Rhinolophus ferrumequinum: one gene and its partners. The protein of the gene in region 1 interacts with the protein of each later gene in a biochemical or structural test. Links are inferred from orthologs where the notes say so. Each region holds a gene or a part of one and is shown on either strand. Other genes may lie near its edges.

What was found.
Region 2: of the proteins of CDK1 (region 1) and SP1, one has a biochemical effect on the other in vitro, tested with the Homo sapiens proteins (2 studies listed by BioGRID). The link is inferred for Rhinolophus ferrumequinum from reciprocal best matches to the Homo sapiens genes CDK1 and SP1.
Region 3: of the proteins of CDK1 (region 1) and PKMYT1, one has a biochemical effect on the other in vitro, tested with the Homo sapiens proteins (2 studies listed by BioGRID and IntAct). The link is inferred for Rhinolophus ferrumequinum from reciprocal best matches to the Homo sapiens genes CDK1 and PKMYT1.
Region 4: of the proteins of CDK1 (region 1) and H1-5, one has a biochemical effect on the other in vitro, tested with the Homo sapiens proteins (7 studies listed by BioGRID). The link is inferred for Rhinolophus ferrumequinum from reciprocal best matches to the Homo sapiens genes CDK1 and H1-5.

Annotation. Positions count from the first base shown.
Region 1 is NC_046299.1:41,137,545-41,144,826, reverse strand, and holds the start of CDK1 (cyclin-dependent kinase 1), read right to left. Parts: upstream 3,001-7,282; 5' UTR 2,867-3,000; intron 2,865-2,866; exon of another isoform or gene 2,765-2,864; intron 937-2,764; 5' UTR 912-936; coding exon 875-911; intron 1-874. UniProt on the Homo sapiens protein: Plays a key role in the control of the eukaryotic cell cycle by modulating the centrosome cycle as well as mitotic onset; promotes G2-M transition via association with multiple interphase cyclins.
Region 2 is NC_046293.1:53,250,931-53,258,497, forward strand, and holds the start of SP1 (transcription factor Sp1), read left to right. Parts: upstream 1-4,561; 5' UTR 4,562-4,659; coding exon 4,660-4,666; intron 4,667-5,724; coding exon 5,725-5,879; intron 5,880-6,177; coding exon 6,178-7,567. UniProt on the Homo sapiens protein: Transcription factor that can activate or repress transcription in response to physiological and pathological stimuli.
Region 3 is NW_022680357.1:4,484,025-4,491,183, reverse strand, and holds the start of PKMYT1 (membrane-associated tyrosine- and threonine-specific cdc2-inhibitory kinase), read left to right. Parts: upstream 1-4,153; 5' UTR 4,154-4,338; intron 4,339-4,728; exon of another isoform or gene 4,729-4,836; intron 4,837-6,689; exon of another isoform or gene 6,690-6,707; intron 6,708-7,159. UniProt on the Homo sapiens protein: Acts as a negative regulator of entry into mitosis (G2 to M transition) by phosphorylation of the CDK1 kinase specifically when CDK1 is complexed to cyclins. Mediates phosphorylation of CDK1 predominantly on 'Thr-14'. Also involved in Golgi fragmentation.
Region 4 is NC_046305.1:1,998,764-2,005,409, forward strand, and holds H1-5 (histone H1.5), read left to right. Parts: upstream 1-4,778; 5' UTR 4,779-5,082; coding exon 5,083-5,760; 3' UTR 5,761-6,140; downstream 6,141-6,646. Other genes in the region: uncharacterized protein LOC117014580, read left to right, coding at 107-166, 373-501, 1,428-1,929. UniProt on the Homo sapiens protein: Histone H1 protein binds to linker DNA between nucleosomes forming the macromolecular structure known as the chromatin fiber. Histones H1 are necessary for the condensation of nucleosome chains into higher-order structured fibers.

The DNA.
Region 1 (7,282 bases):
GAGCACACTAAAGCTATAGTTGGAAATGTTCCTCAAACAGAACCTACATAAATTAGACTCTAGTAGCAAATTGTAAATTATAAGTTATGTCATTTGTTCCTGGAGAGCTTAGAATGTTAATAATATCAAGACACCTATAAAACGTAAGATATGCTGTTGGTGGAGGAAAAACAGGCAGAGGGATATTTTTATCCCTCATTTATAACATATGGATATATTCTTTAAAAACTTTAATGAAATTACAACAGAAAGAACAAATGATTAGATTATTGGTTTTATTAGGTTCGTGCAAAAGTAATTTTGGTTTTTGCAATTATTTTTCTTTTAAACTGCAATTACTTTTGCACCAACCTAAAGAATAGCTTAAACATGTACACACATCATTTAAACCTAGGGGAACACAATAGAAACTTATTTAAATTAGTGTAATAGTCAATTATTGAAACCAATTCGGAAGATTCAGGTAAAAAGATTTTATCATATTAAAAACAATTGTAGGAGACTAAAAGTGTATTACGAAACTTAACATAATTCTACTGTCCTTACTTCTCGCCCCAACACACACACAAGATATCGCTAGTCTTCTCAAAATACAAATATTGCTTTTTAAGTACTTAGTATTAGAAGAATGCAGGATTATGGGGGAGAGGGGCTGTCAGAGTCATATTAGAATAATTTCAATTCTCTTGAAATGTGAACATTTTTGTTATTTCTTGTGTTTAAGTTATTTATGTAAAGGACATATATATTAATGCACAGTAGTGTAAGATGCTTTAAAGTTTGGATTTTAATAAATATTTACATTTCTTCATGTCACAGATGTTATAGCATCATTAAGTCATTAAACATTTTTTTATTACTGAAAAGCACTCACCTTCTCCAATTTTCTCTATTTTGGTATAGTCTTCCATAGTTAATCAATAGGTATGGTAGATGCTAAAATGAGATGAAAAAATTATTTGATTATATGCCACTAATTCAAAAGAGGGGTTTAAGTTATTAATGAAATACTATATGTAAGGTACTTTCCACAGTGCTTAGGTACAGTATTAACTTTTCATAAATATTAGTTATTGCATTAAAACAATATTTACAAGGGAAAGTACTCCAGCAATAAGACTTCCCCACATTTCTTAACCCCTAAAACACTGGAAATATTTGTATCATATATCAGTGTTTAGCTTCTTTCAATCAAATAACCCCTTAAATTCAGACATCAACTTATCTGTCCTTCCCAAACAACCAGAAGTCTGTTTTCTTATGGAATACTTCTAAGGAGCACCAGTATGTGCCAATTACACCCAGATACTTCAACAAATGCTATTTGACTGAATATTTACTGGTTTATGATTTTGTGAAGATAATTTAAAGACATGACTAGGGAGCTAAAATGTGGTCACACTGCACATTCATTAGATTGTTAAAAGCATAAGTGTTTAAGCTTGCTCAAGTGAGTTTTCTGTTTTTAGCAGTCACATACACAAACATGATCAACACTTTCAAGGTATTTTTTGAAAGAGTAGGAAATATCATTTAGCACCCTAAAAGAAAAGGTGCAATTCCACAGACTAAGTTCTAATTATGCCCTATACAATCTCAAGAACAAGTTTATATACATATAAAATATATATGTATATATGTGTATATATGCATATATATATGCATATATATACACATATATATATATATATATTTTTTTAAATCACAAATAATGGTCAAAAAAAAAAAGCTGAAATGCAGATAACCAGACACTCCAGACTTCCTTGGCTGGTAAATTTGCCTATGAAACATAACTAGAAGAAACCCAAAGCATAATTACCTTGATTTTCTAACACACCCGTCACTGATAACATCATATATAAAGGTCATCTGAATACTCTGAGTAATTGGCCCTTAAGTTCTATTTCTCACTTTCATCTTCAGAATCATTCCACAGAAATAGAGATAAATCTTTTTAAATGAACAAAACTGCACTACACTGGCCATGAGTGTCAACCTTAAAAATTTTTAATTTTACGAAATGGCAATGGATGATTAAGATAATTATCTTTCCTTCAGTATCCTGATTTAATATGCCTAATGCACAATAAAATTGTTGAGCTCATTTAGCTAAAAACTAAGTCAATTTCACAGCTGGGTTCGAGTAGCCTCCCTCCATTTTCCTGCCATAACCATTTTTGAATCAAGGATGCAGCGTTAGGCCTTTTGAATACCTCCGAAGGCTCTCAGTACTACTAGCTGCAGGATGTAAAATACCAATGGACTGGCCTGGAGACCTGGCCCAAGTGTGGTTGCTTCCCACTCCCAGAAGCGAGGGCAGAGCGCACAAGGGACCTAGGACCGAGCCTGGCACTTCGCCAGCGCTCGGTGTCGCGGAGCCAATGCCCGGATTTGGCTTCAACCGCGACCCTAAAGCCTCCCTAGCCAGGTGGGCGGCCTCTTCCAGAGAAAAGCCGACCGCGACCCCAGACCGCAACTCCGAAACCAGGGCAGCCGCAGCCCTCCCCGGCTTAACCCCACCAGCTCTGGGCTCCCCTAAACCTCCCTCTAAAGCTGGGACCCGGCGTCACTCACACGCCCAGGCCCGAGCCCGCAGGTGAAGGCCGGGCCCAGCCGCCGGAGGCCCAGCCTGGCCCCACGCTGCCCAGCCCAACTTCCAAATTCCCACCCAGTTACTCAATACTACCCCTCTGAAGCCCCCGAGCCGACCCCTGTGGACCCCACAGGCATGACCCTGACCCAGCAACACTCCCCGGCACGTTACCCCGTGGTAAAAGGGGCAGCGGTGGCTACCGCGTCAGCTTCTCCCTTTCCTTCACTGCTCCGAGCCAGCTTTGAAGCCAAATGCGAGCAGTTTCAAACTCACCGCTCTAAAGGGTCCCGGGTTCGCCAATGAGGTGGCCCGTAGACTTTCAAAGGAGCCAATCAGAGCCCAGTCACGCTTGGGCGGAGTTCTCCGGTGGCTGAAGCGCGAAAGCAGAAGAAAACGGCGGCTGGAGAAAAAGCAGGAGGGCGGGCGCCAAATGAATCTGCGCGCAAGCGCCGTCCTTCATCCCTGGAGAGCGTCGTCCTACTGTTTCTAGTCATCAGGAACCTACTGATCGGTCTCGGTTGGTTCCCCCCCCTTCCTATATCAGCACAATAAAAATTTATTGTGCACAACTAGCTCATCACAAAAGTGATACTATACTTAGATCCAGATTCCATTACTTTGTTCAAACTAGTGTATAGTTATGTTTTTCTAAATAGATGACTTTTGGGCTAGGCCGAAGGAGCACATTTCAAGAAAATGGAAAACTGAAAGACGTCCTCAACAATGTAAAGAAACATGTTTCTTTTATATATATATATATATCTTTTATATATATATAATTGTTTTTACCTCACTTTTTTATTTTAAATTTTTTTATTTATTTAAAATTTTACTTATTTAAAAACTAAAAACAAAATTGTATTTTTTTAATTTCAAAATATTTTCACATCGGTATTTTAAATGTTATTTAAAACAAATAAACAAAGTCACAATTCTATAAGGGAAAAAAAAGAGGTCTTTAAGTAACCCAGTATCAAACATTCTCTTTCATTGCCCTCCACCATATTCTTAAGAGAGATTTCTGCACTTGAACATCATTCTTAAATCTTCAAGACAATAGAAGAGTAAAACAGAATGTGATAATAAGGTTCCCCTAGCAAGAATTTCTCTTTGCACTGACCTTAAAGGGATGCAGAACAAAGAATGATTACCATGACCTCTACAAGTATATTAGATGACCCAGAATAGGAGAAGCAATGGAACTTCTTTTATCACATACGTGGAGGTGTTTAATACCTTTTTACATAAGTAACATGTATCATCTGGCCCTGTATGTGGCACAAATGCTCAGCCTTGACAACTTTATGCTCCTAGGTGACAGAGGCAGAGAATTTAGAGTGGAGGTAGGGGTCTGAAAAAATCTCTACCTGAACCTAATAAACTTTAAAATGCCAAATTCACATTTTAAATGAAAACTGGCTACCCCCAGTAAAGTACTCTAGGAAAGAAGACTGTTCTCTGCTAGTTTAGGGTACTGATTTTAATGAATGAATATATATCTTTCTCTCTGGGAGGCCTAAGCATGGAATTTAATTGAGACCATCTAAAAACAGGTAGTAATTCATTATATCCACTTTATGTTCAACATAAAGAATACCAGAAGTTTCCACAGGTGTGATGCTTGATTTTTTTTTTAATTTAACTTGATTATCTTTGTTTTTGAAGTTTCAGGGATTATTGTAAATTCATGCTATTGTAAATTCATTTTACAGTTTATTACACATAAGTCTCACTTGTATTCAATGTCTCTACAGTGCAATGCTGCGCTTAAATAGACACAAAAATGAATCAGATACAATTCCTGCTCTAAGTGTGGACGTGGGAGAATACAATGATTACTTAGAATTGTTTTCTGGCACTTATGTTGTAATTTATGCTATAAGATAATGTGAGAACATAGAGAAGGAAATTACTAATTCAAGCAGAGGAAGTGACATTTGAACGAACACTGGAGAAAATAAATGTGGGGTGGGCATTCTAAAGCACAGGAGTTTAGAGTCAGAATCTTGAAGAGCCCTGAATACTGTTATAAAAAGTTGCTGAGGAGAGGTACAGTCTTGGAACTGTATGTTAGAACTATTCTGGAGGTAATATGAAAAAAAGAACTGAAGAAGAGAGGATGGAAAGTCATATGCCCCACAAAATTTCATACTTATATTTTGGTAAACTCCATTTAGAAGGAAAAGAAAAGGTTAGTTGGTACTGCACATGAGGCTTTTGTTTTGCTTTGTTTTTAGATATAAGTATTGCTGTGGACTGAATTATGCCCCAACCCCCAATTCATACACCAAAGCCCCACCCTGTAATATGATGATATTTAGAGACGGAGCCTTTGGGAGGTGATTAGATTTAAATGATATCATGAGGTTGAAGCCCTCACTGTGGGATTAGTCCTTTTATAAGATCTCTCCCTTACTCTGTCTCCTCCATGGGAGGACATAGCAAGAAGGGTCCATCTACAAGCAAGAAAGAGAGTTCTCACCAGAACCTGACACTGCCAGCACCCTGATCTCAGACTTCCGGCCTCCAGAACTGTGAGGAAATTAATTTCTGTTGTTTATGCCACCCAGTTTGAGGTATTTTGTTATGGCAGCCCAAGCAGACTAGCACGAGTATTTTTTCAGATAAAATAAATTCGAGAAACAGTTACTTGTGACTACAATAATCCCCCCTTACTAGCAGTTTCACTTTCCACAATTTCAGTTACCTACTGTTTACCATGGTCTGAAAATATTAAATGCAAAATTCCAGAAAGAAACAATTCCTATGTGAATCCTACCTTTGTCCAGCATATCCACTCTGTAGACGCATCCCGTACCCATTAGTCACTTAGTTAATACCCATCTTGGTTATCAGATCCGCTGTCATGGAATCACAGTGCTTGTGTTCAAGTAACTCTAATTTCACTTAATAATGGCCTCAAAGTGCAAGAGCAGTGATGCTGGCAATTCAAAATGCCAAAGAGAAGCCATAAAGCACTTCCTTTAAGTGAAAAGGTGAAAGTTCTTGACTTTATGAGGAAAGAAAAAAGTTGTATGCTGAGGTTGCTAAGCTCTACAGTAAGAACAAGTCTTCCACCCATGAAATAGTGAGGAAGAAAAAAGAAATCCATGCTAGTTTTGCTGTTGCATCTCAAACTAAGAAAGTGCTAGGGAGCTAGATACCCATATCTCACAAGGCCTTCCCAGGTTGTGCTAAAGGATTTGGACAGGATGATGAAATTAAAGGGGAAAAATGGGAGTAGGGGAGTGACATAGTCAGATATGGGAGTTGGAGAGAAAAGTCACTGAAGAGAAGATGCGAGGAGGGACAGTGAGGTAGCATCAGAGCCAGAAGACCAGTGGAGGGCTCTGCGACAGTCCCAACAGGGGCTCAACTAGAGGAGTGTGGGTCAGTTTGAAGAGGAAGAAGTAACGATGAGCTATTTTGAGAAGCTAGGACTGTAAGACCTAAGGAGTCGATCGGGTGTGATGAATAAGGGCGAAAGACTCATCAGGGATGGCGTGGGTGCGGGCTTGACCATGCGTTGATGCCACTGCCATCTGCAGAGAGGCTAAGGAGCAGTCGTGGGGGTAAAATGCCACTCTGGCCTGTGGATTGTGATGTATCATGGGACAGCCACGTGGCCACAGATGGCCAAAGGCAGATACAGGTTCCGTGAGGCCTGAAGTGTATATCATGTAGGGGCCCTTTTTAAATTAAAAAAAAAAAAAAATGCTAAGTTAAGTGTGATGGAAAATATATTTGAGAATAAAAAATTACAAAATATTAAAAGTTAAAAAATACCATCAAGTCACAAAATCCATTAAAAAGTATTTTATTAATTGCCTGACAGATCTTTATATTGCCTTTGTTCTACATTTGAGGGGGTTTACAATTTTTGGAATCCATATTTTAAATGCTTATTTGTTCACCGAACTGATGAGCTATTTATCTTTTTCTCTTTATATGGCACAATTTTGTAATATTTTCTATTAAGAGAGAAAAGATAATGCAGTCTTTCCTTTAGCATGGTTAATCCAAACTGGCTTTTTATGATTGATCATTTCAAAAAAGTTTTTGTGGCTCTCACATCGTTATTGATTATGTCACATATATTTTTAGCATTTCTGTCAAATGTGAGAAAACATCAAGTTTCTTTCACATACTTGTATGTGTCTATGCTACTACTCTACTCATAAACTTGTGCCTTACAAACACAGGAATTATGCAAAATTCTAATGTGCATCATTCTAAATATTCCAGATTTCAAAAATTGTCTGATATATTTATAATTGTCCATGCTGTGGTAACAAGCGTATTCCTGACACAGGAGAAATTCAGTTTAGATGCGGTAATGATATAATTTTATGCATGTTATAATTGACAGCATTGCCCACAGGTTAGCTTCTCCTCTATTACCCACTTCCCATTTACTTAGAGTTCATATAAAATCTCTGACCCTATCCCTTCATGTCCAGAGGCCAAGAGAGTCAGCTGAATGGATGGGCAGAGTATTCCCAGAAGCCCTTCCTACGTTAGGACTGGTGGCAATAACTTGGAAGTGTGGTGGGTAAATAACTAGATGCCGCTAATCCTAAACTAAATGTATCCTCAACTCAGCTTCCTCTGAGCCAATTCTCACCATTGTTCATGGTCCTGCCGGTGCCACTGGACAGGTGGGGAAGTGTGACTGACGGAGTGTTCAAG
Region 2 (7,567 bases), on another chromosome or scaffold:
GATGTGAGAAACCTAGGCTTGTTTTCTTGTTCAGAGAGCTAGAATTAAAGGTTTAGAACATTATCTGCTGAGACTTAACCTGTCGGACTATTTCTCTCTCTCTCTCTCTCTGTCTCTTACTCTTTTTAATCTCATTTATCCTAGAGTAGGCAGGGCAGGTAAAAGAAAGGTTAGTCTGTTTTGTACTTAGCTGTAGTTGAAAACTTACTGAGAGGGAATGTTGCAATGATGGTGTAAAAAGAGAGTTTTGACTCACCTATGTATTTTAATTTGTAAAATGTTCCCAGTTACCAGATTGCTAAGTGGGAAATTGATGAAAGCTACAAAGTGGCTTCAAAATCAGGAAGAATGATTTAACTTGTAAAAGACAACCAACTGAAGGCTGAGAATCAATCTGGAGACCTATTTAGGATGTTGGGTAACTATGGAATTATGCTTCCCCTTCTACTTAACAAATGTTTACTGGGTGTCAACTATATGCTAGCCCCTGAGGATATAAAGTGAAAAGGCATCATCTGGGCCCTCAGATTGCTTTGTGTAGTTGGAGAATCAGATATTTAGATACCTCTAGTGGAGGTGTGTAAACCAAACACGGTAGACAGAGTATTCAATACCTGCGGGAGGTAGGAAAGACTTCATAGAACTCGTTCTTTTTCCTTTTATTAATTTTATTGGGGAACATTGGGGAACAGTGTGTTTCTCCAGGGTCCATTAGTTCTAAGTTGTTGTCCTTCAATCTAGTTGTGGTGGGCACAGCTCAGCTCCAAGTCCAGTTGCCGGTTTCAATCTTTAGTTGCACAGAGCGCCTCCCACCATCCCATGCTGGATTTGAAACCTCAACCTTGTTGTTAAGAGCACAGCACTCTAACCAACTGAACTAACCGGCCGCCCCCTACATTGCTTTTTAAAACACTGTGTTTTTAAAACACAGTCATTAGGAATTAAGTGATTTAAGAAGCCTTGAAATAAGTTGATTCATTTTTGGTTTTTGTGTTAAGTCTAAAAAAAATTTGTTCAGGTTTTACAGATAATTGGACAAGATGGATCATGCCCATTTGCTTTCAGGGACCATCAATAAGCAACCATCCCTCACTAGCCAGGTTCTGAATTTTGTCTTGTCCTGGAGAAACAGTATTGGGAAAAGGATGATGGCTCCGGAATTGCTGAGTCTATATCTAAGCCTTTTCTCAGTATCTGGGATAAAATCCAACCCTAGTTCTCATTTTAGGCATAGCTTAGAACCATGGAAAAAACACAAAGTTTGGGATTAAACAGAGCAGTCATGAATTTAACGGAAGTATCTGAGCTTCAGTTTTCTCATCTGTAAAAGGAGATGGCAGTTTCTTCAATTGGTTGAAAGGATTAAGTTGGACAATGTGTGTGAAATGTTCAGAGGACTGCTCTACAATGTTAGCCCCCCCAGTTTAGGTGTGGTCTTAGGCTGAATGCACTGAACAGCTGTTACAATCTTGACAGCTTGGTTTACAAAGATGACTAATGCAGTTTTTTCCCTTGGGAAGTTTCTTCCCTTCTGGAAATTTCTTCTCTCCAGTTTCTTCCCACAGTGTTTCTTAAAACTGGTTTAGGGACTAATCACTTGAAAGAGCTACTACAAAATGCATACTGTCAAGCCCCACCGGAGAGAATGGGATTTATTCCATCTGAGATGGGGTCTAGGGATCGACCTTTTTTTTTTTTTTTTTTATAATCAAATAGGTATCTTTATTTTGCTATGGAGAAATGAGTAATTTAAGCATACAAAAGTTTTGATAATCATACAGTAATATTGATTTAGAATTAATGTATGGTGCTGCTATCATATTTTGAATCTATGTTATATTTTCTGATGACACCTCATCTGACTTTTTTTTTTTTTTATTAAATTTATTTTTAATTTATTGGGGTGACAATTGTTAGTGGAATCGACCTTTTTAAAAAGCAGCCCACAGCCTTCTGATGGGGATTGTCTGACATAGTGTGAGACGCTTTGATCTAGGGAGAGACGCTGCTAACTATAATGTACTGTGATGTTTTCTAATAAAGGTGTACAAGGCGAGGGTGCCATTTGAACTATCCTGGAAGTATGGCAGCATTTTTTCAGGAGCTAGAAGGTAACATGATAAAAGCATTTTTAAGGGCCGGCCCGGTGGCTCAGGCAGTTAGAGCTCCGTGCTCCTAACTCCGAAGGCTGCCGGTTCGATTCCCACATGGGCCACTGGGCTCTCAACCACAAGGCTGCTGGTTCTACTCCTCGAGTCCCACAAGGGACGGTGGGCTCTGCCCCCTGCAACTAAGATTGAACAGGACACCTTGAGCTGAGCTGCCGTTGAGCTCCCGGATGGCTCAGTTGGTTGGAGTGTGTCCTCTCAACCACAAGGTTGCCGGTTCGACTCCCGCAAGGGATGGTGGGCTGTACCCCCTGCAACTAGCAACGGCAACGGGACCTGGAGCTGAGCTGCGCCCTCCACAACTAAGATTGAAAGGACAACAACTTGACTTGGAAAAAAGGCCTGGAAGTACACACTGTTCCCCAATAAAGTCTTGTTCCCCCCCAATAAAATCTTTAAAAAAAATAAATAAATAAAAAAATAAAAGCATTTTTAAAAAACAATAAAGAAAAAGAAAAAAAACAAAAAAACAATAAAGGCTCAGACCCCTTCGGGGAAGCGGACTTCCTTGAGTTAGGAAGAAAAAGCCAGAGGAGGGAAAGATGGGAGAGCGAAGGAGGCAGAAATTTTTTTTTATTAAGCCATTTTTCTAAATGGTTATACAAGGCATTGCTTTATTCTCTACAAAGAATTTATACAAGACTTTTTGTGGTACTATTCTGGGTTGGAATCTGGAACTACAACTTATTAGCTTTGTGACCTTGGGCAAGTTACTTCCCAGCCTTAATTTCTTCAGTTATAAAACATATAATCTCTAAAACTTACTAGTATCTTCCATATGAGCATGACATAAAGAATGCAAAACACCTAACTGACCTAGGCACCTAACACATTCAACAATCACGTCACCTGTCTTCAGGCCCTGCCCAAGACTGCAGAGGTCTGTTTTAGGGGAATCCAGACTTTAAAACATGACAACCTATCACAAGCGCTGAAATTGTAGCTATTTAAGTGATAACATATATAACATACAAGTGCTAAAGAGAATGACCTCATCATTCTTGACCACAAACCACCCAGGCTGCCTCCACCAAAACTAGAAAAGGAAGGCAGGATGGGAGAGCAGAAATTCAGGTACCTGGGGAAATAGCTCCTTTAAAACCTTTGTAGTTGTAAAAAAAACAACCACAACAAAAAAACTGTTCTACTACCTTGTTTTATGATTAGACGGCATTTACAATTGCAAGTGGCGGGGGAGTAAGTGGCTTACAGGACCTTGACTCTGGGTTCTCCAGTGCACTTTAGCCTCAAGAGTTCTTGAAAAGTTAATCTGCCATAAATTAAGTGGTCAGCACCTTTGGGGAAATTTAATAAAATGGCGTTTGCTGTAATCTCACAAAGGCCTTGCAAATTGGTCAGCTCAGTGTTGACTGAAGGCGTGAGCAACGTCGCCAGATCTCATTGCGCTGGCACCCTCAGGGTTTACACCCACGTTCAGAGGCATCCGACTGCCTGTCCGCCCAGCCTGGGTAGAGTGAGACTTGAGAAATACTTTTTTTTTAAGGGACGTTAAAAGAAGACGTAAAAGAGCCCTGGTGGCGAGGCAGAACTGCACACTGAGTTTCTTGGCCCTGACACTTGTTGAGCTAGAGGGCTCCGCTAAAGCATAGCACCCAGTCACTGTAAAGACGTCCCCTGAGGAGGGCCAATATGGCGACGGACTCCTCTTGGCACAGCCCTGTTCCCTCCCCCATGAGAGGCGGCTCTAGTAACGCCCATCAGCCAAGATGGAGGCGGTGTCTGGCTTCCTTCGCCGCCTCATTGGACTGAGTGACTGAGTGAGACGCCAATTCTCCTCTGACTACTCCGAGTTCCCACCCTTAGAGTTCATTCGGTGTTTAATTGGCTTTTAGTTCCCGTCAATTTGCGTCTTATCTTGTCTCTTTTCAGCGTTAATCCAATCACAACTTTCCTGGCTGCCCGCCTGATTTCTGATTGGTTTTGATCAACTTCATCCTCTCCCATTCCTGCCTACTTCTTATCGCTCCTCCCACTGGGACTTTGCTCAGGCACGTCCAGGGTTCTGGTTGGTCGTTGTTTTGTCACTCCAACCAAAGCTCTTCCTATCTCTACCTCTCAAGGAGCCCGCCTGGCAGTTGACTGGTTCCTTTCCAAGCCTATCATTTCTAGCTCCCGCCCACATTCACTTCCTGCGTCTTTCATTGGTTTTGAAAATTGAGAGGGCGGCCTTTTAGGGCGGACACCGGGCACGCAACTTTGTCTTACACGCCTTAGAGAGTAAGCGAGTCTTACCATTGGGTAACCTGCCCGCCTTTCTTCTGCAAGTCCCTCCTTCCTCCCTCCCTCATTGGGCGGGGCAGCAGTGAAGGGGAGGGGCCTAGGCCGGGCTTGTGGCGCGCTGCTCCCTCCTCCTTACCCCCCCCTCCCTGTCCGGTACGGGTTCGTTTGCCTCGTCAGCGTCCGCGTTTTTCCCGGCCCCCCCCAACCCCCCCGGACAGGACCCCCTTGAGCTCGTCCCTCAGCTGCCACCATGAGCGGTAAGGATGAGTCCACTCCAAGCTTAGGGGTGGTAGGGGAATGAGGGGGCGCGCGCGAGGGCCGACCAGGCGGTCCCCGCCATGAGGGGGGGCGGGCGGGAGGCGGCGGCGGCGGCCTTGGTCCCGCCCGGGGCGGAGGGAAGGGAGGGAGAAGGGGCAGTGGCGGGGCCTCCGAGGAGGAGGGGGATGGGCCGCCCGCCCCGGGGGAGGGGGCAGAGTGGCCTCGCCCGCCCCCTGCCCGCCCCGGCCACGGGGGGGACGGGCCTTACCCCCCACTACTCGGCCGCCTGCCTAAGGCTCCTCCTGCCGGGGGCTGGAGCCGCGGGGGCGGCCCGAGCAGTGCAGGCCCCGCCCGGGCCAACCGCCTCCCTGGTCCGCCCTCTGGTCGCCGCCTGCCCCAGGGCCCTCCCCACCTTCCGTAGATTTCCCCTCCCCCCCACTGTCCCGCCCTTTCCACGCCCCTCACCCCGAAACCGCCCTTTCCCTCTAGGGTCCGCCCTCAGTCCGCCAGGAAACCTGATTTCTGTGTCCTGGACCCGTTTAGCCCCTTACCACCAGTATTCACAAATGTTTCCCCACTCACACTTCTCAACTTTTTTTCCCTTTGCCCTCCTCTCTTGTTACTTTTTACACTTGAATTTTTCTCTTTCTCCATCTCTTTTGACCCTAATTTTAGCAAGCTTTCCATCCACCCACATGTTGTTTTTTGTTTTATCCTTATTTTTTTCCCCCAGGATACTTTTTCTTGTTTTGAAACTCTTTCAACATGCCCACTGTCCTTCACACTTCCTATGCCAAAAGCACCTTTTCAATATTTTCTGAGTTTAACTTAGTGCAAAGGAGAGTTGAGGCCCAGTTTTGGCACCAATAAGCCTAGCTCATGTGCTACACATTCTACAACTGTTCCTTCTCCCCCAATCCTTTTTTTTTTTTTTTACGCTGGCATGTTTCACCTTCCTGTTAGTCATGCCTGTTTCATCATAGCCTCTTCTATTCTTCCTCACTTTACCCTTTTCCTTCCCTCAACTTTAAGTTGTCTATCCTTTCATTCTTTTTAGACCAAGATCACTCCATGGATGAAATGACAGCCGTGGTGAAGATTGAAAAAGGAGTTGGTGGCAATAATGGGGGCAATGGTAATGGTGGTGGTGCCTTTTCCCAGGCTCGAAGCAGCAGCACAGGCAGTAGCAGCAGCAGTGGAGGAGGAGGACAGGTAAGTGCTGATCAGGACAGAGCGGCCAAGGTGTTGAGAGGATGTACCCATCTTTAGGTGATTATCTCCACAGAAAAGAATTTAGGAAGGGGTTCACCCTTTTAGAGATAGGGAAGTAAGTACAGAGAGACAAGTGATTGGGAGAGCCCCAAAAATGTCAATTTCAGCGTTTTGTTCATTTTCTCTTTATTTGTTTGCACTGTGTTGCTGTTTGTTTATAGTATACTGCCCCCCCCCCTCCCCCCGCAGCTGGGTGTCACTGAACTGATTCCTTTCCTCTGTCTTATTTTTTGGCCAGGAATCCCAGCCATCCCCTTTGGCTCTGCTGGCAGCAACTTGCAGCAGAATTGAATCACCCAATGAAAACAGCAACAACTCGCAGGGCCCAGGCCAGTCAGGGGGCACCAGTGAGCTTGACCTCACGGCCACACAACTCTCACAGGGTGCCAATGGCTGGCAGATCATCTCTTCCTCCTCTGGGGCTACCCCTACCTCAAAGGAACAGAGTGGCAGCAGTACCAATGGCAGCAATGGCAGTGAGTCTTCCAAGAATCGCACGGTCTCTGGTGGGCAGTATGTTGTGGCTGCCACCTCCAACTTACAGAACCAGCAAGTCTTGACAGGACTACCTGGAGTGATGCCTAACATTCAGTATCAAGTAATCCCACAGTTCCAGACCGTTGATGGGCAACAGCTGCAATTCGCTGCCACTGGGGCCCAAGTGCAGCAGGATGGTTCTGGTCAAATACAGATCATACCAGGTGCAAACCAACAGATCATCACAAATCGAGGAAGTGGAGGCAACATCATTGCTGCTATGCCAAATCTACTCCAACAGGCTGTCCCCCTGCAAGGCCTGGCTAATAATGTACTCTCAGGACAAACTCAGTATGTGACCAATGTACCAGTGGCCCTGAATGGGAATATCACTTTGCTACCTGTTAATAGCGTTTCTGCAGCTACCTTGACTCCTAGCTCTCAGGCAGTCACTATCAGCAGCTCTGGGTCCCAGGAGAGTGGCTCCCAGCCCGTCACCTCAGGGACTGCCATCAGTTCTGCCACTTTGGTATCATCACAAGCCAGTTCCAGCTCCTTTTTCACCAATGCCAATAGCTATTCAACAACTACTACCACCAGCAACATGGGAATTATGAACTTTACCACCAGCGGATCAGCAGGGACCAACTCTCAAGGCCAGACACCCCAGAGAGTCAGTGGGCTACAGGGGTCTGATACTCTAAACATCCAGCAGAACCAGACATCCGGAGGCTCAATGCAAGCAAGTCAGCAAAAAGAGGGAGAGCAAAACCAGCAGTCACAGCAACAACAAATTCTTATCCAGCCTCAGCTAGTTCAAGGAGGACAGACCCTCCAGGCTCTTCAAGCAGCACCATTGTCAGGGCAGACCTTTACGACTCAAGCTATCTCCCAGGAAACCCTCCAGAACCTACAGCTGCAGGCTGTTCCAAACTCTGGCCCCATCATCATCCGGACACCAACAGTGGGGCCCAATGGACAGGTCAGTTGGCAGACTCTTCAGCTGCAAAACCTCCAAGTTCAGAACCCACAGGCCCAGACAATCACGCTGGCCCCAATGCAGGGTGTTTCCCTGGGGCAGACCAGCAGCAGCAATACCACCCTTACACCCATTGCCTCAGCTGCCTCTATCCCTGCCGGCACCGTCACTG
Region 3 (7,159 bases), on another chromosome or scaffold:
ACCCTGGGCTGTACCCCTGCTGTGTTTTCTCCCCACACACGAGGGCCCACAGCCAGGGATCATGCTTGTCTGAGGGCATGTGCACGTGCACACACACACATACAACCCTACCCATGGTACCCATAGACCCACCTTTGCACAAGGCTCCGGCTGGGTCCTCTCAGCCCAATGCCCTGGCAGAGCACCCCACATACCCACCTCCTGCCCTGTCCAGCAGAGAGCCGTGACCCGGAGTCCTGGAGGCTGGACCTGCCATTGGCTGCTGGGAGTGGCTCAGGGGTGGCCCCTGACTCCAACCACCCATGAGAGCTTGGAATACCTAGGACAGTCCAGGCAGGCTCCTTGGAGAGGGCTTTTCTGCCAGGCCACCTGCTTCTCCCCAGGGCAGGAGGTACTGGCTCCCTGGTATCCTCATGGAGGGCAGCTGAGTGGCCTCATGGTTAGCAGGCTGGGTGCTGGATTCGGATTCAGACTGGCTTCAAGTACTCAGTCTACCTGGCTGGGGAGCTTGAGCAGGAATCTGCCCTCCCTGAGTCTGTTTTCTCTTTAAAATTACGACACTAATGGTACCACCGTGTTAGGGCTATTGGGGGAGCTACTTTGGACCCTATTTTATAGATGGGGAAACAGAGGCAGAGAGGAGAAGGGACTTAGCTCCGATTGTATACCCCCTAAGCAGCAGGGCTGGGATTTGAAGCCTGGCAGTGTACAGCGCCCCCTGAGTCCACCGTCCTCTGCCCTCTGATACTCCACACACTTCTGGGCAGCAACAAGACCAGTTGCCCCAGACACTGCATTGCTCTTTGCCTGCCTCATGCCAGTCTGGGCCCAAGGTATCTGTTTCAGACCTGGGATAGCTGAGGGCCCCCCACACAGACCCAGACACACAGACAGTCAGCTCACCCTGCAGGGTGCCAGGGAAACTTGGCACAAGAGGAGGCAGGCGGGAAGACCAGGAGGGGCCATGCAGGAGGTACAGGCCGGGTGCCTGCTTGGCCACTGCTAGAGGGAATGCTGGTGCCCGCCACCAGTGCCAGGCTGCCTGGGTGCTGGCATGGGCCTGTGGGAAATGCCAGTCAGCCAGCCAGGGGCCTTGGGCCAGCTTGATGCCACTCAGGACCAGGGCTGGGCCCAGTTGGGTACCCACAGCCCTTGCATTGCTGACACCCCCACTTCCAGCACAGCCGATCCCGTCAGCTCAGCCCCAGCTCTACCCAGGCAAGGAGGGCCTAAGAGCGCATCAACCACTTGGGGGCTAAAAGAACCCCTGATGGAGCCTGGACCTGAGTTACCCTTTACCCCCAGGCATGAGGGCACATGGCCCAGGCTCTGGCTACAGGAGCAACTTTGACGGGTAGAGCTAGAAGCCCAGGACAAGGTGACAGCTGGGGTGTTAAAAGTTCAAGATGGAGGCCCAGGAAGTACATCGCCTAAAATGGCACAGCCTGTGTCAGTAGACTCCCAGCCAGCTGCTCATGGTAGCAGCACCTGCCAGGGTGGGAATTTGGGGATGACAGCTGGAGGGGTGGCCAGGCGCCTGCAGGGCAGACACCTTCTGAACCCGCAGCTATACTAAAGGCTCCTTAGGTCGCCCCTTCAGCAATCTATCTGGCAGCTCTTCAGCCCCAATCGCGGGATTAGCATCTCTGAGACACTTTCCCAGGCATCCCTAAGCACTTGCACTGTGCAAAGCTGACCTTTGTTAACTTCTTCTCCTCACCCACTTGTTAGTTTATTAAAACCTTATGCCAGTGTGAAATATGGCATACATTCCGAAGCGTGCATAAAACAGAAATGTACAATATAATAAATATCTATTAAAGCAAACACCTATGCAGCTGGCTCCAAGGTCAAAAAATAGAACAAGGCCAGATTCCCCAGAAGTACCCATCACGATCTCCTCTTTCCTGCTATGTAGCCAGGTTTGCGTAAGTGGCCGTCATTTCCTTACCTTTCTTATCTCACGGTATCCTGTTTTGTGGCCCCATCCCTGAAGGGACATCCCGGTGTGTGTGTGGCGGGGGAGGGGGGGGGGTAGTCCGGGCGGGGTCGCGGTGCTGTTGCCGCGACGGGACACATGGGGGCGTGCGCGGCCCAAACCGGCTCTTACCTGGGTGTGCGACCGGACCCCGGGAATCCCGCGCCTGGGCCGGGATTGGGGGTTTCTTCCTGGACTGATCCCCAGCCAAGCGCTTTGGTCTCGAATCCCTGTGACCCCGGGTGCAAAAGTCCCGGCCCCTCTCCTCCAGGTTCCTCCTTTTGAACCAGGAAGCTGCTTTGAAAACTGCAAAATACTATACAAATGAGGGAGTGTTACTGTTATTATTAAAGAGAGTAAGCTCCTTCTGTGTGCTAGGTTCTGTGCTAAGCATTTCACATGCATTTTCTCATTTAATGCTCATACCCCAAGAAGGTAAGAACTATTATTATCCCCATTTTACAAATGTGGAAACAGGCCCAGAGACATAAAGCAACTTGCCCATGATTGCACAGCTTTTGTGTGGCATAGGAGCCCTAATTGCCCTGACTCTATGACCCATGCTCTTACCTGCTATCTGTACTTAGCTTTACATTATATCCCTTCCACACAGTGAAATGTCCATTGGAAGCATGTTTTGAATTAAAAAGAAATATATATATATATATATATATATATATATATATATATATATATATATATATATATATGTATGTATAATTTTTTTTTAAGTCATTGTGAATAACTTCCAAGAATGAGCAGTTGGAAAGGGGCCTGAGTCCCAAAGTCCTGGAGATGGGGCTGGCAGAGGGGATGGTAGCTGGGGAGGGGCCTGCCTTCTTCTCAGGCCTCCTGGGGACAAGTCTGGGGTCCTTAACAGGGGTTCAGTCTGAGTCACAGGGGCTGTGGCTGCCAGAGGTGCTAGTGCAAAGGACCGGTGCATGGAGGGGGTGGGGGCTGCAGGCCCCAGAGAAGTTCTGGGCCTGATGTGGGACGGGCTGGTCCATTAACTGGAGAGTGTTCGCTGAAGGGCAGGAGCGCAGTGGGCTGGGAACCCTGCAGTCCCTGACTTTGCAGACTTGGTGGAGGGGTGGTCAAAGGGTGAACCAAGAGGATAGAATTTCAGACAGAGATAAGTGCAATCCGCAAAGGAAAGGATATATGATGAGATGTGGAGGGTTCTAGGGAGGATGGCCTGGAAGCGTGACTCCCCCCTGCCTTGTTCAACGGATAAAAGATGCTGTCCGTGAAGGAGCAACGCCTGCAGCACTAAGGTTAGGAATCAGCGCCTGCTCTGTGCTGCTCCCCTGCTGAGAACTTTAAGGGGATCATTCCATATGAACCTCCAGCTCCGTGAGGTAACTTTCACCAGCTCAGTTTTCACGGGAGAGGAGACTAATCTGAATCTCAGGCCCTAGTACATTCCAAGGTCATTCCGCCAGGAAGCAGTTGAGGTAGCTGTGAGCTGAACTCAAGGCTCAAATCCAAACGATGGTAAGGGCTGCCTCGGAGGTGGCTGAGCCCTGGAAGTAGGGAGGGATCCGGCCTGGATGTCTAGGGGGCTTCCTGAGAGGGGCAGAATGTTCTGGTTCCTGAAGCAGAAGCCGCGCGTTCCGCGGGTCGGGGAAATGTCTATCTGGCCTGCCCATGACATCCCCGGTGTGGTGCACTGCAGGTGTGAGGGGGGAGCCTGCGAGCCCAGGGGACTCCGCCCCGTCAGGATCCCAGAGGCCGCAGGGACTTCCAGTCCTACCCTGAGGTGATCGCCTCCTGAGGCGACACCTCTGGGGCAAAATGCGGTGACCACTCCTTTTACAGACGCGAATACTGTCAGCCCAGCGAGAGACGTGGGTTTTGGGACAGCGAACTAGGGGTCGGTCGACATTCCGAGAACCGGGCGGAAGGGGCACAAAGCTGGCTCAGGCCGGGCGCAGCGCCTCAGCCTCCAGGCCCTGCGGTGCGGCCACTCCCGCCCCCGGGCCGGCGCCAAGGACACTTTGCGCCTGCGCAATGAGAGCGCAAGGGCTGAGGCGCTTGGGGGGCGTGGTCGGCGACCCGCACGCAGGGACGTAGGGGGCGGAGCCCCAGGAGGCTGGGCGCCTCTGATGGGCTGCATCGGGAAGGGGGCAGGGCAAGAGGAGTTCTTGGGCGGGGCCTCGATTCCGGTTTGGAATTTTTGGCGCGAGTCAGTTCCGCGCGCGTTCACGGGCAGTTCCCCCTCCAGAGAGTCCTCTTGCCCCGTCGTAGAGAGCTGTCGACGGCAGACCTCAGCCCTCCTGACCGCCCCCGAGGTCTCCCGCGACCTCTGCCGACCCAGAATCTGGGACCTCGCGGAGCTGCTCCCCGCCCTCTCGCCCCAGGTGAGCCCAGGCCCGGCCCTGAGGGTTCTCGAGCCGGACCGCCCTCCCCTCCTCTCCTCCTCCCTCTCGTCAGCCTCACCCCGCTCCAGCCTCCTTCCTCATCCCCCTCCTACAGCCCCCCTTCCCTGTCGAATTGGGTTCTGCCCTACCCATCTGCTAACCCCTCTCTGGGCCAGTCCAGCCCCGGGCGGCCCCTCCCACTCCCCTCTAGCCTCTCTGGCGAGTCCCCTTGCTGCCCTCTCTCCTTCCCCAGCCTCCCTGTCCCCTTTCATTTGGTAACCCCTTCCCCTAGCGACTGCCCTCCCTTATTTGGCCCTCCCCAGGAAAAGCCCCACTCACGTTCCCCCTACAGCCCCTCCCCCGTGACAGTCGGTCTACTCTGTTCGCCAGGGTTTCCCCACGCCCACGGAGGTGAATCAGCTGTGGGCCTGCCCGCGAGGAGCTCACAGTCTAGCGTGGTAGACCGTGGTCAGCAGATGTGTCCAGCCCAGTGAGAGGGTGAGGCCTGTGGAAGCTGCAGAGGTCACCTGGCCCGTCCTCTGCTCAGGGCCACCCTGGATTCTCCCGGGAGCTCCTGCTCCTTCTACCTTCCCTGTCCCACCCCCAAAGCTGTTTGGCCAGGCCAGTGGTGCTAGAATGTAAATGAAAGTGGGATGGTCTGACAACTGGTTTAAGATGCAGATCTTAAAAGATTTAAGTGTCTCAGAATGTGCCAGGACTGCGCCTGGAGGCTGTACATACTTCTAACCAGCTTCTAACCAGCGTCCTGGGGATCCTGACATTCCAGTTCTTTACTTTGAGAAACCCGTAGGATTCCTGAGGTAAAAGGGGCAGAGGAAAGGTCCACACATTATGTAGGGTGAGCCTTCCAGGATGGCACTGTTGGGGGTCCCTCCCTCAGCCCTCACTCGCCCAGGGACAGGAGGGCACACTTCAGATGACTGCCCCCTTTTCAGTTACTGACTCACCCCTTGTTGGGTATGGCATCTTTTGATACACTGCCTTTCTCTCAAAAATTAAACTCCTCTCCCTTTTGTTTTCTTGTTTTTGTTTCAATTACAATGTAATTGTGTAATAACACAGCAGCCGGGTGCAGATACACAATCTTTGTGTATCTCTGCTCCAATACACAGTCACTTACACCCATGGGACCATTGCAACTTTGTGTGTTCTCTCAATGACTACTCAGAGCATTATTTATTATATATTATTTATTATATAATGAATAATTATATAGCATTTATTGAGGACTCTGCATGCCAGACACTGGGCTGAGCCTTCCCTGACTTCAGCATTACAGGTCCACAAACTCTTGAGGCCAGGAGTGTTTCAGAATTCAAAATATGTCAGATTTTAGAAAGCTAATAGGGTGCATATAACATTTATATGTAACACCACCCATGAGTCTGGGACATCATCCAACAATTAAACACATTAATATTTCTGTCAAGAAATCTATGAATATTCACACTGAGAGGAAAAAAGTAGGTCAGACCAGATTTTTCTGCTAAATGATTTTTGCATATAGATATCTAGCTGTCCCAGCACCATTTGTTGAGAAGATTATTCTCTCCCACAATTGTTTTGGCACCCTTGTCAAAGTCAATTGATTAGAAATGTGAGGGTTTATTTCTGAATTCTGTTTTAGTGCATTGATATATATATCTATCCTTGTGTGAGTACCACACTGTTTTGATTATTGTAGCTTTGAAGTAAGTTTTGAAGTTGGGAAGTGCAAGTCCTCCAACTTCATTTTGATTGTTTTGTTTTGACTATTCTGGGGCCTATGAATGTCTATATGAATTTTAGGATCAGCTTGTCAATTTCTGCAAACAATCCAGCTGGGATTCTGATAAGGATTGTACTGAATCCGTAGATCAATTTGGAAAGTATTGCCATTTCATTCATATTAAGTCTTTGGATCTATGAACATGTAATGTCTTTCTGTTTATTTAGGTTGTTGTTTATTTCTTAAGCTGAGGGGGAAAAGGAAAGAGCGTACATATCCATAATATTTGTTATGTTGACCTTATTCACCACTTTTCGTTCTCTTCATTTATTCCTGTGGGTTTGAGTTACCATCTGGTGTCATTTTCTAGTCCAATATAGTTTTGTTCCCACCCACCTCCTTTGTGCTGTTATTTGCAAGTATATTACATTTCTCTGTTATATGCTCAACAATACAATTACATACATATTCTTTTTAAATCAGTTAAGAGAAGAAGGGAGAAGAAATATGTATTTATTCTGTCTTATATTACATACTTATCCTAATCGGTGATCTTTGTTTTTTTATGTAGGTTAGAATTACTATTTGGGATCAGTGCTTTCAGCCTGAAGAATTTCCTTTACTTTTTCTTGTAAAGCAGGTCTGTTGGCAATGAATTCTTTATTTTGTTTATCTGTGAATGTCTTTATTTTGCCTTTATTTTTGAAAGATAGTTTTGTTAGATACAGGATTCTTGGTTTACAAATCTCCCTCCTCCCCGCCAGCACTTGGAATGTCATCCTGTTGCCTTCTGGCCTCCATTGTTTCTGATGAGAATTCAGCAGTTAATCTTATGGAGAGGCTTGTAAGTGATGAGTCATTTTTCTTTTGCTGCTCTCAAGATTTTCTCCTTGTTTTGGTTCACTCAGCACTTTTAATATGATGTGTCTGTGTGTGGATCTCTGCATTTATCCTACTTGAATTCATTGCACTTCTTGGCTCTGTTAATGTTCTTCTAAATCATATTTGGGAAGTTTTTATCCATTATTTCTTAGCATATATTTCCTGCTCCTTCTCTCTTTCTGGGACACTCATTATGCCTATATTGGTACA
Region 4 (6,646 bases), on another chromosome or scaffold:
GGATCAGGCAGGAATTAGCAAACTGGAGGCCTACCAATGGAGAATGTAAAGCTATAGAAACCCCAGTTTTCGGGCAGGGTCTCTCCGCCCTTTGTTCCTGTGATAGGATTCACTACGGGCTGCGCTGCCGCCTTTGGGCAGTTGGCAGTGACGGGAAGTCCTGGAAGTACCGCCGAGCTCGTCACGCTGTGTTTGGTCCAATAAATGGACATACTAGATCACTGCGAGGGTTCTGCCGGCCGCCCACAGAAACCCCACGTTGCCAGCAAAACGCTGGGTGTTCATTCCTAATATGTTGGCAGCGATCGATGTCAGGAAGGATTGACATCCTTGCCCACCCTCCCGTCCCCCTTTTGTCCCCCCTCTCCCCAGGCACCGGCTGAGAGCCGTCACCCCAAAACCGGTGTCTTTGGGGTTAAATGGCACGAACTGGGTTCTCATTTCTCATGCTGGGTCCCTCCCTAAGCCTGAGGCCAAGCATTTTGTAAGTTACCGCTCTCTGTAAGTTACAGACCCGGGAGCCAGAGTACTAACTCGGGCCGGTAACTAACTGTCCCGAGCCCGAGGGCCTAACTGCATGTGCAAAGAAGGATCTCTGGCTTGTGCGCCCGGCTCCCAGACGGCTCTCGGCCACCTCCCCCCGCCCTCCGCCTGCCAGCTCCCCCCCGCACCCCCGACGTTGTCTACGTGTTCCGGCGGCAGGGCGCTCCTACAGCTTCGGGGGTTAGTTCTTCAAACCGCCATTTCATTACGCAAAGTCCCGTCTTAGGGCCACCCAAGAAATCTAAGACCTGTAGGCATTTTAAAAATCCTTAATTTGGCAGGGCAGCTACCTCGGGTTACGTTAGAGTGATCTTTGTGAATTCACTTAGAAACATCAATTTTGTAATGCCACCAAAAGTGCATTTGGTTCCCCCCCACACACACCCCATGTCCATCACCTAATAGAGTGGCAAAATCTCAGGTGATTCAAATCTACATCGGCTGTTTTGCCTCACTGAAAGCTGTACTCATTCGCGCTGCACTGTCAGGGGCAGTTAGTTACGACTCTGCCTAAACTCCATCACGACCTTTTACAGAAGAAATTGGCCAAACCTTGTTTGAACGAGGTCTTTCGGTGAATGTGAAGCATGCTGCAGTCTGAGAGGACCGGCGCAGCGCAGAGGCTGGAATTAGAAACCACTCCAAGGCCTTCGTTCAGTGCCTCAGTTCCCTTTCAAGTTCACGAAACTTTTTGTCAACAATTCAATCACGACACGTTTTATTTGTAAAAGTGCAAGGAACTTTCAGGACATTTTCTTAAGGATTTTTGATGCATCCTGTGGGGTTTTCAGTCAGTAAGACCGCAATAGAGGTGGGGAAAAGCTTCCTGAAATTATTGAACAAAGAACTAATCCGTGTGGGGTGGAGGGGTGGGAGGGGCATAGGGTATCGTCGAATAGCGGCGGGCGAGTCCCTATAAATACTGGGATGGCTGATTGTTTCTCATTAGTGTTGGAGAATTGGCTTTGCTTACCCATGGCTCGCACGAAGCAGACGGCGCGCAAGTCCACGGGCGGGAAGGCCCCGCGGAAGCAGCTGGCCACCAAGGCGGCCCGCAAGAGCGCGCCGGCCACCGGCGGCGTCAAGAAGCCGCACCGCTACCGGCCGGGCACGGTGGCGCTGCGCGAGATCCGGCGCTACCAGAAGTCCACGGAGCTGCTGATCCGCAAACTGCCCTTCCAGCGGCTGGTCCGCGAGATCGCGCAGGACTTCAAGACGGACCTGCGCTTCCAGAGCTCGGCCGTGATGGCGCTGCAGGAGGCGTGCGAGGCGTACCTGGTGGGGCTGTTCGAGGACACCAACCTGTGCGCCATCCACGCCAAGCGCGTCACCATCATGCCCAAGGACATCCAGCTCGCGCGCCGCATCCGCGGGGAGCGGGCGTAAGTCTCCTTCCTCAGTTAGCATCCCCTGCCCCCAAAGGCTCTTTTCAGAGCCCCTCAATTGTCAGCGAAAAAGAGCTGTTAATTCTGAAAAGTACACGGCATCCTTATATGAAGTGTGGTGTGTCCTTGGTGACTAAGTCACACCACTGCTGCCCACTTGTGCTCCACATCGGCCGTCTGCTTCTCCTGTGACCCTAACAACCGTCCCGCTTGCCGAGTCCCTCATACTCTGCAGTGAGGAGCTGTTTATGGAGAGGCATTACAATGACTCGGTCATTTGAAAATCCAAACAACTTCGACTGCAAGAAGTGATTGAAGGAAAACTGGCCCAAACCTTACAGAAGACTTAACTGGGTTATGCAAATGGGAATCAGTTAAATAGGTAGAATATTCCAGCGCCATTACTTCAGAAATAGGCCTCTTGATTTCTTGTAACACAAGTGTTGCCATGAGTGTTTAAAATCTTGACGGCTTTTTTGTTTTCCAATTTTAGTATACGTGCTGCAGAAGCGAGTGCACCTTTTCTGTTCCGATGTAATGTTTGCAAGTGTATGCTGTGGGCTTTCCATGTGTGACTGGGGAATGGGTGACGATGACCTGTAAGCTGTCATGTAAAATGAGTTCCCAATAGTTCTGAGACAATCTAGAAATACTTGTGCAAGTGTTTTTAAAATATATTTGTCTGTGATTGTTTTGTTTTGTTTTTTTCTATGGAGAATCAGACTAGGGATGAAATCCAGCATGCCGTTTTAAATCTTCCTTGTTTCCACACAATTCTGAGTTTTCTAACCAAACATGGCTGCGTCCCATATTTCCACTTGTTTAGTTTACTCTCGTGCTCTTCGTATTACATGACTGTCAGTGCCTCATTTTGCTGCTTACCTTTTTTGGGTATACACCCTAACTTTAGGAGGTAGCAGTTCTATGAGGGCAGTTTTTCTCCTGATCTCTGGCAGATCAGCCACCTGGGCCTTCCCTTCCTTCCCGTGTCTGGATTTGCCCTTCCAGAGAGAGGCTTATATCTAAACCATTGGCTCCTTGGAAAGCTTTTTGAAAAGTCTCAGAATTGATTCAGAAAAGTCTGATGAGGCCAAAAGCCTCTGATTACAAATCAGTCTGGAGCTCCTGTAGTGGCTCTCAGGTGTAGGGACAACTTGGTGCTGCTTATTCCAAGTTTCAAAGGTTGTTCTCTCCCCATCCCTTTGAGGACCTTCCCATCATACAGACCCAGGACCAGGAGGTCTACCTTCAAACATCTGCCGACAGTGAGCTCTATAACCTTTGGCAAGTCACGCATCTTGTCTCTAGGCCTTAGCTGACAGAGCTGTAAAGTGTGATGAATGAATGGAAATCTGTACAGCTTCCTGAGATTAGTTCCTGGCACTTTGTAAATGCTCAGTGTATATTACCTCTTATTGTTACACTTCCCTCTCCTGCACCTTTAAGCATGGAGGGATTCCCCCCGAATCTTCTAAATGTTTTGTGATTAAAACAATGAGAATTGATTGGTTAGAACACTTTCTTGTTAAAACCTTTTCTTTAGTTCTTGATTTGCATTGTTCTGAAAGAGGCAAGCTTGTGGCGATATGCCACGATCTGTGTCTATGTGGATGCATTCAAAACACAGCATAGGTGCCAGGTAGTAAATATTGTAGGTTTTGCCGGCCACGTATGATCTCTGTCACGGTCTTTTTCTAACACAATTTAAAAATCTAAAAACCACCTTTGAGTAAGGACCATACAAAAATAGGCCTCTGTCCAGTTTGGTCATAGTTGACTATAGTTTCAATTCCAGGAACTCCTAGAGAGAAGTGTGTTGGCTGCTTCACCAGTGTTTCACAGGGAAGAACTAAGTACCGTCAACTGCATTAGAGATCAAAATCATGATTTGATCTCCCTTAGCATCTAGGCCAGACACAAAATCCGATCAACCCCTTGCCCTACTTTCGTTCCAAATAAATAGCAAACTTCATCTTCCATTCCAACCTCAAGATCATTGCCTCAGTTCCCTTGAATGTTAATGTTTTCCTGTATTTTCCTGAATTCAGGAAATTCCCAGTGCACCGTTTTTATAGTAGCCAATTATTTTTCTAAAATATAGGTCTATTATCACTTAATAATTGATGTCTCCTGTCTGCTCAGCGAAGAGGGTGTTCCTGACTGTAATTTGTTAAATACTGACAGGGATTGAGGAGTTTGAAGGAAGACATTGGGAAAAGCAGGAAAACCTGACAAAGTCCCATGGGAGCTAAATAGATTGTGCTTTTGTGAGCTACTGGAAGCCCTTGAAAAATTTTTAACAGGTTTCAGAGGTTTTCTGACACATTATCTGGGCTAAGCATTTTTCATCCTTGTTTTAATAGATTTGCCTAGGAACTAAAGAGAGAACACATCTCAATCAAAACCATACAAATTAAAGTTTGAATTTGAATCCAGGTCGTTGGAAACTGAAGACAAAGCAATTGTTATTTCTCCTGCTGCAAGGTAGAAGTCACTCTGGCAACTGAACATTTCCAAGATGGAAACTACAGACACTGGCACTGAAACACCTAAGAAGCAGAACCGGTTTTTAAAGTCATGTCTGTGTGGCTGGTGTGGGGCTGTAGGCAAGCAGGCGCTCTGTGCGTGTGTTACTTGCTACAGTTAGAAACAAAGTTTATGCCCAAAAGAAGGAGCCTAGGGTCTTTCCTCCTGCAAAAATCAAAGACCAAACTTAGAGAGAAAGCCTTTTAACACACGTTGACTTGATACTTAGTAGACATTTGGTGCAAGATGCAACTAAGTAGCAGGATGCCCAAAGCCCGTGGATTCCTATGGAAAGCTGAAGGGATTTTTAAAAAATATCTTTCATCAGTTGCGCGTGATTCATGAAAACACAGACAAGTATGTGAACCTGGAAGCTGTTTTCCACCTTTGGAGCTTCAAAGCGTCAGATTCTGTACCGTTGATTTCGGAATTTAATCAGATGTTTGGGAGTAAGAAACACAATTTGGGAGTCCAACCGCGAAAGGCGGCCGCCTGAGGGCGGCGGATCCGACGCCCCACCAATCACAGCGCAGCCCCGGCTTATATAAGCCGTAGCCCGAGCCTGGCAGTACTGCGAACTCGCTCTTTGGATTTTGGGTCTCTTTCTCTGGTAGCTCCTCCCATCGCCATGTCGGAAACCGCTCCTGCTGAGACGGCCGCCCCGGCGCCTGTAGAGAAGGCGCCAACAAAGAAGAAGGCGACCAAGAAGGCAGCGGGCGGGGCCGCCAAGCGTAAGGCTTCGGGCCCCCCGGTGTCCGAGCTCATCACCAAGGCGGTGGCCGCCTCCAAGGAGCGCAGCGGCGTGTCGCTGGCCGCGCTCAAGAAGGCGCTGGCTGCCGCCGGCTACGACGTGGACAAGAACAACAGCCGCATCAAGCTGGGTCTCAAGACCCTGGTGAGCAAGGGCACCCTGGTGCAGACTAAGGGCACCGGCGCTTCGGGCTCCTTCAAGCTCAACAAGAAGGCGGCCTCCGGCGAGACGAAGCCGAAACCCAAGAGGGCTGGCGCCGCCAAACCCAGGAAGCCCGCAGGGTCCACTCCCAAAAAGCCCAAGAAGGCCGCGGGGACAAAGAAAGCCGTGAAGAAGACCCCCAAGAAAGTAAAGAAGCCTGCTACCGCCGGTGTCAAAAAGGTGGCCAAGAGCCCCAAGAAGGCCAAGGCTGCTGCGAAGCCTAAGAAGGCCGCCAAGAGCCCAGCCAAGCCCAAGGCGGTTAAGCCTAAAGCGGCCAAACCCAAAGCCGCCAAGCCCAAATCGGCAAAGCCCAAGGCCACCAAGGCCAAGAAGGCAGCTCCGAAAAAGAAGTAGGAAGCTGGTCTTTAAAAAGGCGACAAAACCCAAAGGCTCTTTTCAGAGCCACCCAGAGATCTCTGGAAACAGCTGTGCACTACAGACACCTACAGCAGACCTGGGGGTGTTGACTTGACCATTCACCAAGCAACCCACTACGATTGTAGTTGTTTCGCTTTTAGGTATCCTTGGTACTTAGACTGAAAGTGACAAGTAACCCAGTGTGACCACAGGGCTAAAGCCATAGATGGGTTATTGCCAGCCCCTTCTGTAAAAACTATCCGAAGATCTCATCTGTACTAATATTTTTTTAACTTTGAACACGTGCTTATTTACAAAGGAACATTTAAAAACCCCGCGCTACATTCTGATTTGTCAGTTTTCAGTTGATGGGTAGGAAGTTTAATGTGATATATTTTTGCGCCACCAAATTTAACTTAATGTTTTTTCACGTTTGCCACAAGGTCGTCAATGCACTTGATTGACCTCACTGAACTGATTGAGGAGTGGCTCCCGGATACTGAATCTGTCTGAAATAGCTACTTCCTGAAACCGCTTGCCAAGCTAAATTTCCAGTGCACACTGCTGATAGATAAATTAGGAAACTGGAGTCCCAGCTCTTCACTACAAACATACGGGCCTCTGAAGTCTCCATCTCCTCCCTATCTCGTTCTCTGTGGAGCACTCTCTACGGGGCGGCTAAGCGCTTCACTTTTAACGCTGGGCGTCGGCTGCACTAACCGTCTTAAATTACTTGTGACAAAGTATCTCAGTATCCATTTTAATTGGCCATATTAAGTGTTTAACTTGTAGTTTCAAAATGGATAGTTTCACCTCTATCGGATGTTTAACTACTGACACCTACCGACCAACTCTGCAGTAAGTCACTTTCAAACAACGGCCA